Canis lupus familiaris: one gene and its partners. The protein of the gene in region 3 purifies or fractionates together with the protein of the main gene of each other region. This does not show direct contact. Links are inferred from orthologs where the notes say so. Each region holds a gene or a part of one and is shown on either strand. Other genes may lie near its edges.

Region 1 (4,203 bases), on a different chromosome or scaffold from region 3:
ATCCTCTGAAGCCACCCCCAGGACCTTCTGACCCCCCCCCCCAAGGCCTCCCCGCGCTACCCACATGACCTCCCAACTGACCCTTTCCTCAGAGGCCCATGTTCCACCTTCCCCTGTCCCCTCTGTCTCCTCCCTAGGGCTCGCCTCACCGCAGTGCTTCTGGAAAGCTTGAGGCTTCACCACTTGGCTGCAGTGGTTACACACAACCAAATAGAAGTCGTCATGGGCAGGGCAGTGCCCGAAGATGGACATGTCTGCAATGAAGAAGCCCTCATCACTGGGGCTGGGGATCCCAGGGGTTTCCCTGTAAGGTCAGACAGCACTCCCACCCACCCCGCGCAGAAGACACCTCCCCCTCCCAGCTGACATGACAAGCTTTATGCTGCATGCTCTCAGCTTCTAGAGATTCATCTAAGAAGGAGCTGTTGGGTGAGTGAGCCCAATCACCTATGATTAGGATCTCCCACAACAGGTCACAGGCGGTAGGTGAATGGGCTGACTCAGATCTAGCAAAGTGAGGCTCCCCAGGCCTGCTGCTTCAAGCAGCTACCTCCTGGGATATGCTGGAAGAGAGGAAGGTGGTCCTGTCTGCCCTAGGCCCCAGCCTAATGTGTGTCAACTCCCACCTTCTTTAATGAGGGTCATGGCATCCAACTTCTTCGTGTTTTTGTTACTCTCCTCCAACTCAGCCCCTAGAGGAGAAACACAGCTCAGAAGGAACACCTCCACCCCAGAAGCCCCATCTCCTACCCAAGCGGCAGCGGCCTGGCAGCAGAGCAGCAGGAGCCCACAGTCCCTAACACGCTTCTGGTGCTCAGGATCTGGTGCTCAGGACCGCTTACAGTGCCTTTCAGCAGGTCATTCTCAAGTGCCCATTCTTCCTTCACCTGCTACCTCTGGAATGGCCTGACCCCATTAGGAAGGATCCTGTCACCTTTCTTATGGACCCTTCACTCCAAGGTGCGATTCCCAGCTCCACTGCAAACTACTGGGCGATTGTGAATAAATATGATCTCTTTTCTGGGCCCGCTTCCCCATTTAAATGGGAAACGATCCTTAACATATTTTACTACAAATCTCTAAGTCCCTTCTTTGGAGATTTCTCTGATGCGTCCTTTCTGCTACTCTGTGCCGTGCCAAACAGGTACCCTCCCAGGTCCCCATCCCCATGAATGCTATTCTGTTCCACCTGGGTTACCCTGGTACTGACAAAGTTACACCCAGCTTCTGAGGTCCTGTGCTGACAGGATGGTCACAGAGCATCCTGAGAAGAGAAACTGCTGTCTGGCTGGGGGGGTCCTCTGGCATCCTCAAAGTCCCTTTGGTCACCTATGCAAGCCCCTCCCCTCCTTAGGAGGGCTCTGGGCAAGGGTTGCCCTTCTACCTCAGTTTCTGGGTTGATGACAAAAACATCTTAGCTGTGCAAAGCAGCTCTTTCCCCCATCCCCCTACCTTACTCCTCTCCCCTCCCTCCTCTATGCCCCCTCCCTGTCCCTTGGAAAAAAAATCAATTCTGAGTCACCAAACCCGTCTGATTCCATTTCCGGTTCTCAAAGCACCCAGACCCTGACAATGGCCCCATCCTTGCCCACCCAGCATGGGGCAGTCCTGGGGTGGCCTGGGCTTCCACTGAGATGTGCTTCTAACACCTACCAACAGATTTGCCCCTTTCTAGGATGAGAAGTTTCACTGACAGTCTTACATAATCTCTGTATACGAGGGGTAGTGGGTTAGGCAGGCAAGAGACAAGGGGCAGCTCCCACTCTTAAGTCCCTTAAAATGCAGTGATGGGCAGAGCTGAGCTGGGAGTCGGATGTCTCAGAGGAGAACAAGTGTCATCAGAGACGGCTCCATGCGGTCTCCTCCTCCACCTCTTCTCACTTGCAAACTTCTTCAGGGCTGTGATGCCTGCTGTCACCCCAAAGGCCACGAGGCCAGGTGCCCCCTGGGGCCCAGGAGACAAAGATCAGCAGAAGGGGCTGTCAGCCAGCTTACCAAAGGCACTCGGGGGCCTAGAGAAGGTGGGTGTCAGGGGAGAGAGCCAAGAGGCAGGGCAAGAGGCCCGGGAGAGGACTGAGGGTTGGAGGCACAGAGGGATGGATGGACGAAAGGAGGGAGGAAGGGAGGATGGATAGATGGATGGACCGACGAACTAAAGCGGAGGGGGCGGGGGTCCAGTAGCACTGCAACCCGCAGGCCCAAACGCCGTAACGGAGCAGGAGGTGCGGGGCAGAAGGCGAAGGAACAAGGGGGGTGGGAGGGGGGCACAGAAGTGGGGTGCGTGGGAAACACGTGGAGAGGGCTGTTGCGGACGGGGAAAGCCCTGGGCAGGTGCAGGAGGGGCGGAAGCTAGAGGACAGCAGGCGAAGAGAGAGATAAAGGCAAGCAGACGTGGGGGCAGGTGCCGGGCACCGGTAGAGGCAGAGGTGGGCAGGGTGGGCTGCGGGCGGTGGGCCGGCGCTAGGACCCGGAGGCGCGAAGGTGATGAGCGGGCGGGCACTAGGACCCGGCGGGTCCTTTGTTTGGGGGGCCGCGGAGCCGGACGGCGGCTGCCGTCGGCGGCTCCCCTCTGCCGGCGGGGGCCCGGAGGGGGGGAGGGGAGACGGTGATGGGGTCCCCGGACTCGAGGGGGGCTTCACTCACCGTCGGCCGCGGGCAGGTCGGCCCGTTCCACCCACGAGCTCCAGCTCTGTCCCGCGAAGTCATCGAGACTCGGCACCCGCCGCTCCAGAGCGGCCATTGCTGCCGCCGCGCGTTCACGCACCGCCATCACCGCCGCGGACGCGCGCCCGCCCCGGCGCCTCCGCCGCGCGGCCCCCGCCCCCCCGCCCCGCCGCGGGCACGCCTCCCCTCCCCCTCCCCCCGCCAGCTCACGCTCTGCGCAAGCGCGCCACGGCTCGTCGGCCCCTCGCGCTCCCTCTCGTACAGCCTTCTGGGAAGTGTAGTCTTGGGGGGGCGCTGTTGCCTACCGAGCTTGCAGCCAGAGCCCCTCCAAAATGCACAACTGCGGGGGGCGAAGAGACCGAAGGCCCGGGACCCCCTCTCTTAACCCTTGTGCACCCACTCTCTGTGCTACCAGCCCGCTCCCGCAAGCTCCCTGCACCCCCAGCCCCAGCCCTCTCTCTGCCCGAGAGCCCTTCTGAGCCGTGCCTCCGCCAGCTGGCTGGCGCCCCTTCCCGGGCTGGCGGTCAAGAAGCGACTTCGCTCCCCCGTAGATCGAATAGGGTAGGTGCAGGGAGGTGGGCGCTGTGAATCAGAAGGGCAAGGGGAGGGAGTCTGTTGGATGTGCTGAAGGACACAAGGGTTGGAGTGGGGGAGGGTCCTCGGCTCCCGTGTTGTGCCTCCTCTGTGGGCCACCCACGGTGCCCTGATGCAGTCTAGAGGGCTGGGGTGGCGTTGTCTGGGTTTGGGAGGACCTAGATGAGCTGATCAGGATCACCTGTCAGGATGACAGAAGGCTGTCTCCGAGCCAGAGCCGGCCCCGAGGCTGCTGGTCTTTGCAGCATCTCTGCTGATCCTTCTCTCCTCCTGAGAACTGCGATCGATACCCTGTACCGCCTCTTCCCAAACCCTGGCTGGACCCTGACTCCATCCATCACTTTGGCTTCCTTTTTCTAATGAATATTTTCTCTGCTGGAAGGGCTGCTACCAGAGCCTAGGCATAGGGAGATTTCTCATCAGATCTGTCATTTTCCTTACTAAGGCCTGGAAAATACCTTAATCATCCTCTTTCTTCTTTTCAGCTGATAACATTTCTTCCCACCCTCCCACAACCAAGAGACAAAGCCTGTCCCCCCCTATCACATCAGAAAAGAGATACTAGTCCTCTTTTCCCTCTTCAACCCTCACAGCTCACCCCAGATTCATTCCTTCAGCTAAAGGAAACCAAATTGGAGGCAAGTAAGTCAAGGTCTGTGACTTCAAGAACTCAGACTTTCTTTTCACTTTCACCCAGGGAATGTTTAAGTACTAGGAAGATAATCTCTGAGGGCAGAGATTCTTAACCCGAGAGCCACAGATTGTGGGGGGGGGGGGGGTGTCCAGGAACTTGTTGAAATTGAATTTAACATTGTGTCCAAATGTGTTTTTTCTAGGGAATGTAAGGGTAGCCTGTAAGAAGGGCAAGGGATATAGAGGTGCAAGTTTGTTCAGAAAGAACCTTCATAGTTAAAAGGGCAAGGCATATGGCCCTCACCTCCTGAC
Region 2 (2,987 bases), on a different chromosome or scaffold from region 3:
TGTGGAATGCTTTGCTGCTTTGTTTTCCCAACTAGACTCATTAGCAGTGCCAGGTGGTAATAACTATCCAACTGATTCCTACTAGTAAAATAAAATCTGCCTAAGATCACTATGGACTCTTTCCCCCATTCTCTGCTTCATTTCTGACCTGATACGCTTTTGGAAAATAATTATGCATGGCAGGAAGTTGCCATACAACAGAGAAGGATTGTTGCATCCTGGGATTATATAGGATTTCAGATCAAATACTTTTTATTGTGAGAATAAATTGAAAAACATGGTTTTCATCAGTATAGCACAGTCAAATCTATTTCTTGCTTTTCTTCTTTCCTGTTCATTTCATCATTAAAGACTCAACAAAAGAAATTTTTATTAATTTAAGAGAATGTTTGCACTGGTGTTTTTTGTTTTTTTTTTTGATGAACAACAATTTTATTTTTCACACTTAAAGGCTAATGAATAACCATTACTAATCCTATTAAAGAAAACCCAACATTCAATAGGAAAGGATAACTATATTTACTCATTAAATACCATTTAAGTTTTCTACAACACAACTTCAAAATACCCAGCATGCACGTTTAATCTCAGTACAATGGATTTAAGACCAAGTTTACAGGTTACAGCATCAAGGCTAGATTACAAATTATCATAGTCATCATCGTCATCATCATCGTCATCATCATCATCTTCTCGTTTTCTTTTCAATGCATTTGATGATTCATTGGAAGTATTTTGTGATGACACCATGTTTGTAGTGATAAGAATGTTTTTGGACCCAATTAATGATGGATTAATCAGAACATTCTGAACTGCGGATGTGGCAGGAATTGATGCTTTTACAGTTGGGGACTGTGATGTGGGCATCTGTACTGTAAACCTCTGCCCTGTGAGGGACATGGGAGTCCCTACTTTAGTTGACACTGACATGGTTTGTGGGGTTGGTGTACCAAGAGTGGGAGTACTTGGTCGGCTAGTAACAGAACCAACACTTAACCGTGGAACTGTTATTCTTCCCGCAGAAGTTGATGCCTTTTTTTGTAAAGACTTAAGTCTATAGTTTGGAGCCGTCAAGCAATATCTATCAGGTGGCAGCCTGGGGCCTGAATATGGCTTGATTAACGGCAAAGGAGTTTGATTTCTTTGCCTTGCAATATCCAATAAAAAATCTCTTGGGGGAGGAGAGGTAAAAGACTGATCAGCACGACACTGAATGGCAAGCCGCACATCGTCTGCATCAACAGTAGCCTTCTTAGCATGGCTTGAATAAATTTTTGCATCATCTAGGATTGTGGTCACATATCGGAACGCAAACTCCAACATCTGATTTATAACTCTTGGTTCATATTCTGTAATCCCCATATCCTTCAGGATTTGTGCCATCATCTGTGCATCTTTCGGCATGCTCTTGGGAGAAGCCATCTTGCCAGACTCCATGATATCTGTTGATCAGACTTCTTGAGCTAAATCACCCACATTAATGTATTTCAATCCTGATCTCGATGCAAGTTCTTTGCCTAGTGTGGTTTTTCCAACCCCCGGGGTACCGGTGAGCAGGATGTTCGGGAGCAACATTGCACTGGTGTTTAGCATTCAGTAACATAATGTAGATTCTAGAAACAAAACTAGCCCCAGGATCTGTTCAAGTAAGCTGGAATAAAGGAGTGTATCTTTTAAAGTTGTCTTTTTTTTCACCCATTATACATTGTTACTCAACAGGTAGAAATATGAAGCAGTAAAACAGTATTTAGTAAGCCATTCTCTTATCTAGGAGGCTTTTTTAGTCAGTTAAATTTTGTTTCTGCTTCATTTTTATTAAAAAGAGTAAGGTAACAAAGGGACATAAATGAGGATATGTTTTTAAAAGTAACCGCCTGCCACCTTCCAAAGAAGATAGCCAAATTCCTAGACCTGTGCTATTCCATACAGTAGCCACTAAGCCACACTTGGCTACTGAGCACTGGAAATGTGCCTAGTTCAAATGGAGATGTGAGGGACACCTGGGTGGCTCAGAGGCTGAGCATCTGCCTTTGTCTCAGGGCATGATCCCTGGTTCCAGGATTGAATCCTGCATCTGGCTCCTTGTGGGGAGTCTGCGTCTCTGCCTCTCTGTGTCTCTCATGAATAAATACAATCTCAAAACAAAACAAAACAAAAACAAACCAGAAACAAAAACAAATGGAGATGTAAAGTGTAAAACACATGTTAGATTTCAGAAACTGAATGTGAATAAAGAAGAAAAAAAACCTTAGCAATAATTTTTAAATATATAGTTTGAAAAGATATATTTTGGATATATTGAGTTCAATAAAATATATTATTAAAATTAATTTCACTTATTACTTTTTTAAAGACTTATTTGAGAGAGAAAGAGAGAGAGCACGCGAGTGTGCAAGGGGAGAGGCAGAAGGAGAGGCAGAGAGAAACCCAAGCAGACTTGGTGCTCAGCACAGAACCCGAGGTGAGGTTCAATTTCATGTCTCTGAGATCATGACCTGAGCTGAAATCAAGAGTCAGATAGATGCTTAACGGACTACACCACCCACACTCCCCTGTTTATTACTTTTTTAAAAAATGTGTCTACTAGAAGATTTTAAATTACCTAATGAGTTGTATGATATTTTTATTGGACAACACTGTCCTAGGCTGTTATTTTGGGACATCATTACTCCTGAGAACCGACCATGAATAACAGTAAGATCTTCAATCATAGAGTTAAAACTTAATTCAAAGCTTTTTGAAAAGCAACTTGGAGATACATATTAAGAGACTTACATGTATCTTAACTCTCTTGGGCAGGAATTTATATTTCTGTGACCTATATTTCTGTGATGTAGCCCTATGATCTAGCAATTCCATTCCTAGGTATATACACTAAAGAATGAAAGCATAGGTACACGCAGAAATGTGTACACAAATGCTTATAGCAGCATTACTCACAGTAGCTCAAAGTGGAAACAACTCAATTGCCCATTAACTAAAGGAAT
Region 3 (4,039 bases):
TCACCCTGATGGGCTGCATCCCCCTGTCCCCCCAGCCAGTTTCCCCAAATCCCCAAACACCTTTCTTCTCTGAGCCATAGGACCAGTCGTTGTCATTGATGTCATCATTATCCTCTTGGTCACTCTCTGACTTGTTCATATTGTTGCTATTGGCAATCCTACCAACGGAAGGGAAGAGAAAGGGTCAAGACAGCCACCTCTCTCTGCCCCCAACCACAGAGGCCAAGCACGAGCCACCCTCTGTGCCCCACCAATGCCCCTGGGGGACTACACCATGCCACAAGTTACAAGAGGTGGGACCAGCATCTCTGGTTCTAGCGGAGAGAGACGCCCTCACCGGCGGTTGGCGATGCGGCTGCTGTTCCGGCCCATTCCCAGGCACTTCTCCAGATGGGGAGCGAAGCGAGAGGCAGCAATACTACGGCTGCAATTGGGGCAGACACACTCCTTGCTCTTCCACTGGTTGAAAACCTGTCCAAAGATGTCCAACCCCGGCTGGTCCACGATCTCTGGGGACAGGAGAGGCGTGGCGATCAGGGCAGGCAGGGGACCCTCACCTCTTGTCTCCCGCCCATGGCCCCATGGCCTCTTGAAACCCCCTGCCTGGGCTCACAGGAGCCCCAGGTACTACGTCTGGTGCAGTTTCCAGAGGAGGAACTTGCAAGTATCCCCGGGACAGGGGCCGGATGGCTCTCCTTCAACCCTGAAGCTCACCAAAATCCTTCATGCTATCAGGGTCCGTGTCGTCCAGGAAGAAGTAGCCACACTTGACAGCCCGGTGTACCTCAAAGCAGAATCCCAAACAAGAATCCTCGACCAGGTCCGCGTATATCTCCTGAGCGATGGCCTGGGCCCAGGGGAGAACATCCACGGTCAGGAGTCTTGGCCCCCTGGACTGAGAGCAACTCTCACCAACCAAATCTGCCAACTCGCCCTGGCCAAAAATAATGCTTTCTTTGCCATTTTCCCCATCTTGACTTCGCATCCTTTCTTCTTCCGGAGCCTTGGGCCTTTTCAGCTGGCTATTCCCTTTAAGGAACCAGGCTGACTACCCAAATTCCTCTTTGGTGTGAACGCCAGATATAGCGACGTAGAGACATCAAGAGAAAGAACTAGAGGCACACGTGGGGGAGCCCTCACCTCTAGTTTGCTGTTATCCAGGCCAGACAAAGACATTTCCTCCATTTTCATTTGTAAACTCTTGTGGAGACGGCGCTCTGACTGCTCATAGCACAGCGGGCGGCAACACGGCTGCACACATGGGGGTGGGGGGGATGTTGGTGTGAGTCCAAGACACCTCTGGAGACTGCCACCTCCCCTCTGCACCCCACTGCCCAGAGCTTAATGCTGGCATCAGGATCTACCCTTCCCCAAGGCCTAGGCTCACTAAGTCTGGATGGTCCTTCAGGGCCTGAAACCCAAAGGCGGCCTAGTCCTTCCCAGGACTGAACTCAGGCCCTGGACTCTGCTACCAGTCCAAGTCTGAGTCCATAGGAGGCAGCAGCTCACCCCAGGTCCCCCAAACTCAAACCCCTCTTCCATACCCATGGTGCAATGCAGCAGGGGGAGGAGAAGGAACTCTAAGGCCTCAAAGCAAACCCACAGGGTGTGGCAAAGAACTGCACAGACTCCTAAATACCCCCCCCCCCCTTCCCTAGGCTCTCCTCAGAGTCACCTCTGCTTTCAGCCAGGATGTCCACTTGGGGGGGTACTGCTACCAGAAGTAGGAACAGCCCTAGAGCCCTACAACCTTCACCCCACTGTGTCTTCCCTTGAAATAAGCCTGTGACTACAGAAGGGGCACAGAGCCCACAGAAGCCTAGAGCTGAAGGAGCATTTCTAGCCATCATGAGCAGGAAGGAGGGGTAGAGCCCGGTGGGGATGGCATGCCGGGAGTGGGCACTCCCCTTACCTGTTCTTCTTTTTAGATAACCACCCTCCCTCCCTCAGGACCAGCCCGGAAGTCTCTCCAAGAGCCCCAAAGTCCAGGAATCCCCACCAAAGGATTCTGAAACAGCGCCCACAGTCCGGGGCCCCTCTTAACGGTGGGTACGAGTTTAAGGAGCTGCCGGCCTAGAGTGGGGTGGGGACTGACAAATGAGCCAGGGGCACCGGGGAGGGTAGGAGGCCGGGCCTCGGCTCTTCCCCCGTCCCTGCGGCACTGCTGCTGCATCATACCGACTGGGGGGAGGAGAGCCGAGCCGCCCGAGGCCGGCGCCGGTCCGGGACAGACCGACCCCTAGAGAGTGGGCAGAGTGGGACGCGTCCCGGCCCCTCTCCTTCCCCCCCGCCGACAGCCCCAGCCGGCCGGGGAGAGGAGTCCGGGAGGGTGTCTCTATTGTCCCGGGGGCTGGGGCCTGGCTCCCTAACAAAGGCCCCGCGCCCCCTCCCCGGCCGGCCCTGCCCCGCCCAGGGGGGACCCAGACAGGGGGAGAGCTGGGGGCCCCGGCCGGGCCGGGAAGCCGGGGGAAGCCGGGCGTTTCCGCGTCGGCCCGGGGGGAGGGGAAGGGGCGCTGACCCAGACCTGGGGGGAGGGGGCCCAAGCCCCGCCTCGGGCCCCGCCCCCCGCCCCCCGCAGGCCCCTCCCCCGTCCCCGTCTCCGTCCCGTACTCACCCCGCCCGGGGGGCCGCGCCGGGGCCCGGCGGCCTCTCAGGGCCGCGTCCTCCGGCGGCGGCGGCGGCGGCGGCTGCTCCGGAGCCCCATGTCCGTCGGTCCGTCCTCGCCTCTCCCCGGGGCCCAGGGCCCGGGGCCGGGGGGTCGGGCCGCCCCCCCGCCTCGCCGCCTCACCGGGCGGCCATGGCCCCTTCCCCTCCCTTCTCGTCCCGTCGCCGCCTCCTCCTCCTCACCTCACCCCGCCCGCGCGCAGTCCGCGCGCCGTCCGCGCGCCCCTCCCCCCGCCCCCCACTCCAGCCCGCCTCTCCCGGGCGGGGGGTGCGGCGCGAGCCCGGAGCGCGCGCGCGTGCCGCGACCGGAGGATGGATGGATGGAGCGAGCGAGAACGCGAGCGTGCGCGCGCGCGCCCCTCTCCCCCTCCCTCCGCGCGGGCGCGAGGCCAAGCGCGAGCGCGCTCCAACCTCCTCCTCTTCCTCCTCCCGCCCCTCTTCAACACCCCGCCCCCGCCCTCCCTTCCTCTTCCTTCTTTCGCTTTCGCGCGCCCAGCGACTGCTCGCGCCTGCTAGAAGGGCCCGAGCGCGTGCATCTGCCCCGCGGCCGCAGCTCGGCAGCATTTGCTCCAGGGGGCGGGGACCGGGCGGGGAGGAGGGGCGCCACGCCGCCGTCCAAAGTACCGGCGGACGGGGACGGGGGCGGGGAGATGGGCGGGGCCTTCGGCGGGCACCTCGGCCAATCGCCGTCTCGCCTCGGTCCGGCCGGCCCAATAGGATGGTGGTGGGTGGAGCGCCGTTCAAGGTGAGGTGCGCGGTGCGCTGGGGGCGGAGACGTTGTGCCGTCCCGGCCGGCTCCGGGGCGGGGGCAGCGGGTGGCGTCGAAAGAGAGCGCCGGCTCCAGCCGAGCCTGGGACGCCTTCCGGCCCAGGATCCCCCGCCCTTCCCTCGGGGCTCCCGGCTCTTCCCCCACACACACACCTCCTCCCGCCCCCCGGCGCCCCAACGCCGGCATTTACCCCGTAGCGTGCAGCCACTTCTCGGAAGAGGCCGGAGTTGAAGTGGGGCTCTGTTAGCACCTCAAGGCAGAAAATCTATGGAGCCAGAGGGGCTCGTCCCAGCCTCCGATCCCCTGTTTCTGGGCGGGTCTCAGCCCACTGCAGGCCTGCGAGCCAACGAACGCCCGAGATGAGGGTCCTCCGCTGAGGGCGGAGGCCGAGCTCTGTCCTTCTGAGCCGAGCGCCCTCCCCGCCCTCAGCCTAATTTAGATCCCACACCTGCTCGGCTTTCCTGCTTCCGGAACCCACGCTGGACCCCCCACCTCTCGGACAGCCTGCCTGGCCCCGGCCAGACCCTCCGACCCCGCGCTACTCCCCGGGGTAGTACTTCCCCGTGGTCGCGCGCCCTCCGAGTTCCCCTTTGCCTTCTGGAGGAA

The links. The genes of interacting proteins can lie anywhere in the genome.
Region 1: the proteins of ATXN7L3 (region 3) and ATXN7L2 purify together in Homo sapiens (affinity purification with mass spectrometry; 5 studies listed by BioGRID and IntAct, counting the BioPlex papers as one, with this or other methods). This does not show direct contact. The link is inferred for Canis lupus familiaris from reciprocal best matches to the Homo sapiens genes ATXN7L3 and ATXN7L2.
Region 2: the proteins of ATXN7L3 (region 3) and TAF9 purify together in Homo sapiens (affinity purification with mass spectrometry; 6 studies listed by BioGRID and IntAct, counting the BioPlex papers as one, with this or other methods). This does not show direct contact. The link is inferred for Canis lupus familiaris from reciprocal best matches to the Homo sapiens genes ATXN7L3 and TAF9.

Annotation. Positions count from the first base shown.
Region 1 is NC_049227.1:42,829,321-42,833,523, forward strand, and holds the start of ATXN7L2 (ataxin-7-like protein 2), read right to left. Parts: upstream 2,801-4,203; 5' UTR 2,771-2,800; coding exon 2,644-2,770; intron 2,480-2,643; exon of another isoform or gene 1,654-2,479; intron 1,476-1,653; exon of another isoform or gene 693-1,475; coding exon 627-692; exon of another isoform or gene 255-626; coding exon 150-254; exon of another isoform or gene 138-149; intron 1-137.
Region 2 is NC_049257.1:19,523,889-19,526,875, forward strand, and holds TAF9 (transcription initiation factor TFIID subunit 9), read right to left. Parts: upstream 1,566-2,987; 5' UTR 1,438-1,565; coding exon 640-1,437; 3' UTR 501-639; downstream 1-500. UniProt on the Homo sapiens protein: The TFIID basal transcription factor complex plays a major role in the initiation of RNA polymerase II (Pol II)-dependent transcription.
Region 3 is NC_049230.1:19,072,517-19,076,555, reverse strand, and holds the start of ATXN7L3 (ataxin-7-like protein 3), read right to left. Parts: upstream 2,801-4,039; 5' UTR 2,615-2,800; intron 2,128-2,614; exon of another isoform or gene 1,676-2,127; intron 1,252-1,675; 5' UTR 1,192-1,251; coding exon 1,141-1,191; intron 848-1,140; coding exon 715-847; intron 510-714; coding exon 338-509; intron 159-337; coding exon 61-158; intron 1-60. UniProt on the Homo sapiens protein: Component of the transcription regulatory histone acetylation (HAT) complex SAGA, a multiprotein complex that activates transcription by remodeling chromatin and mediating histone acetylation and deubiquitination.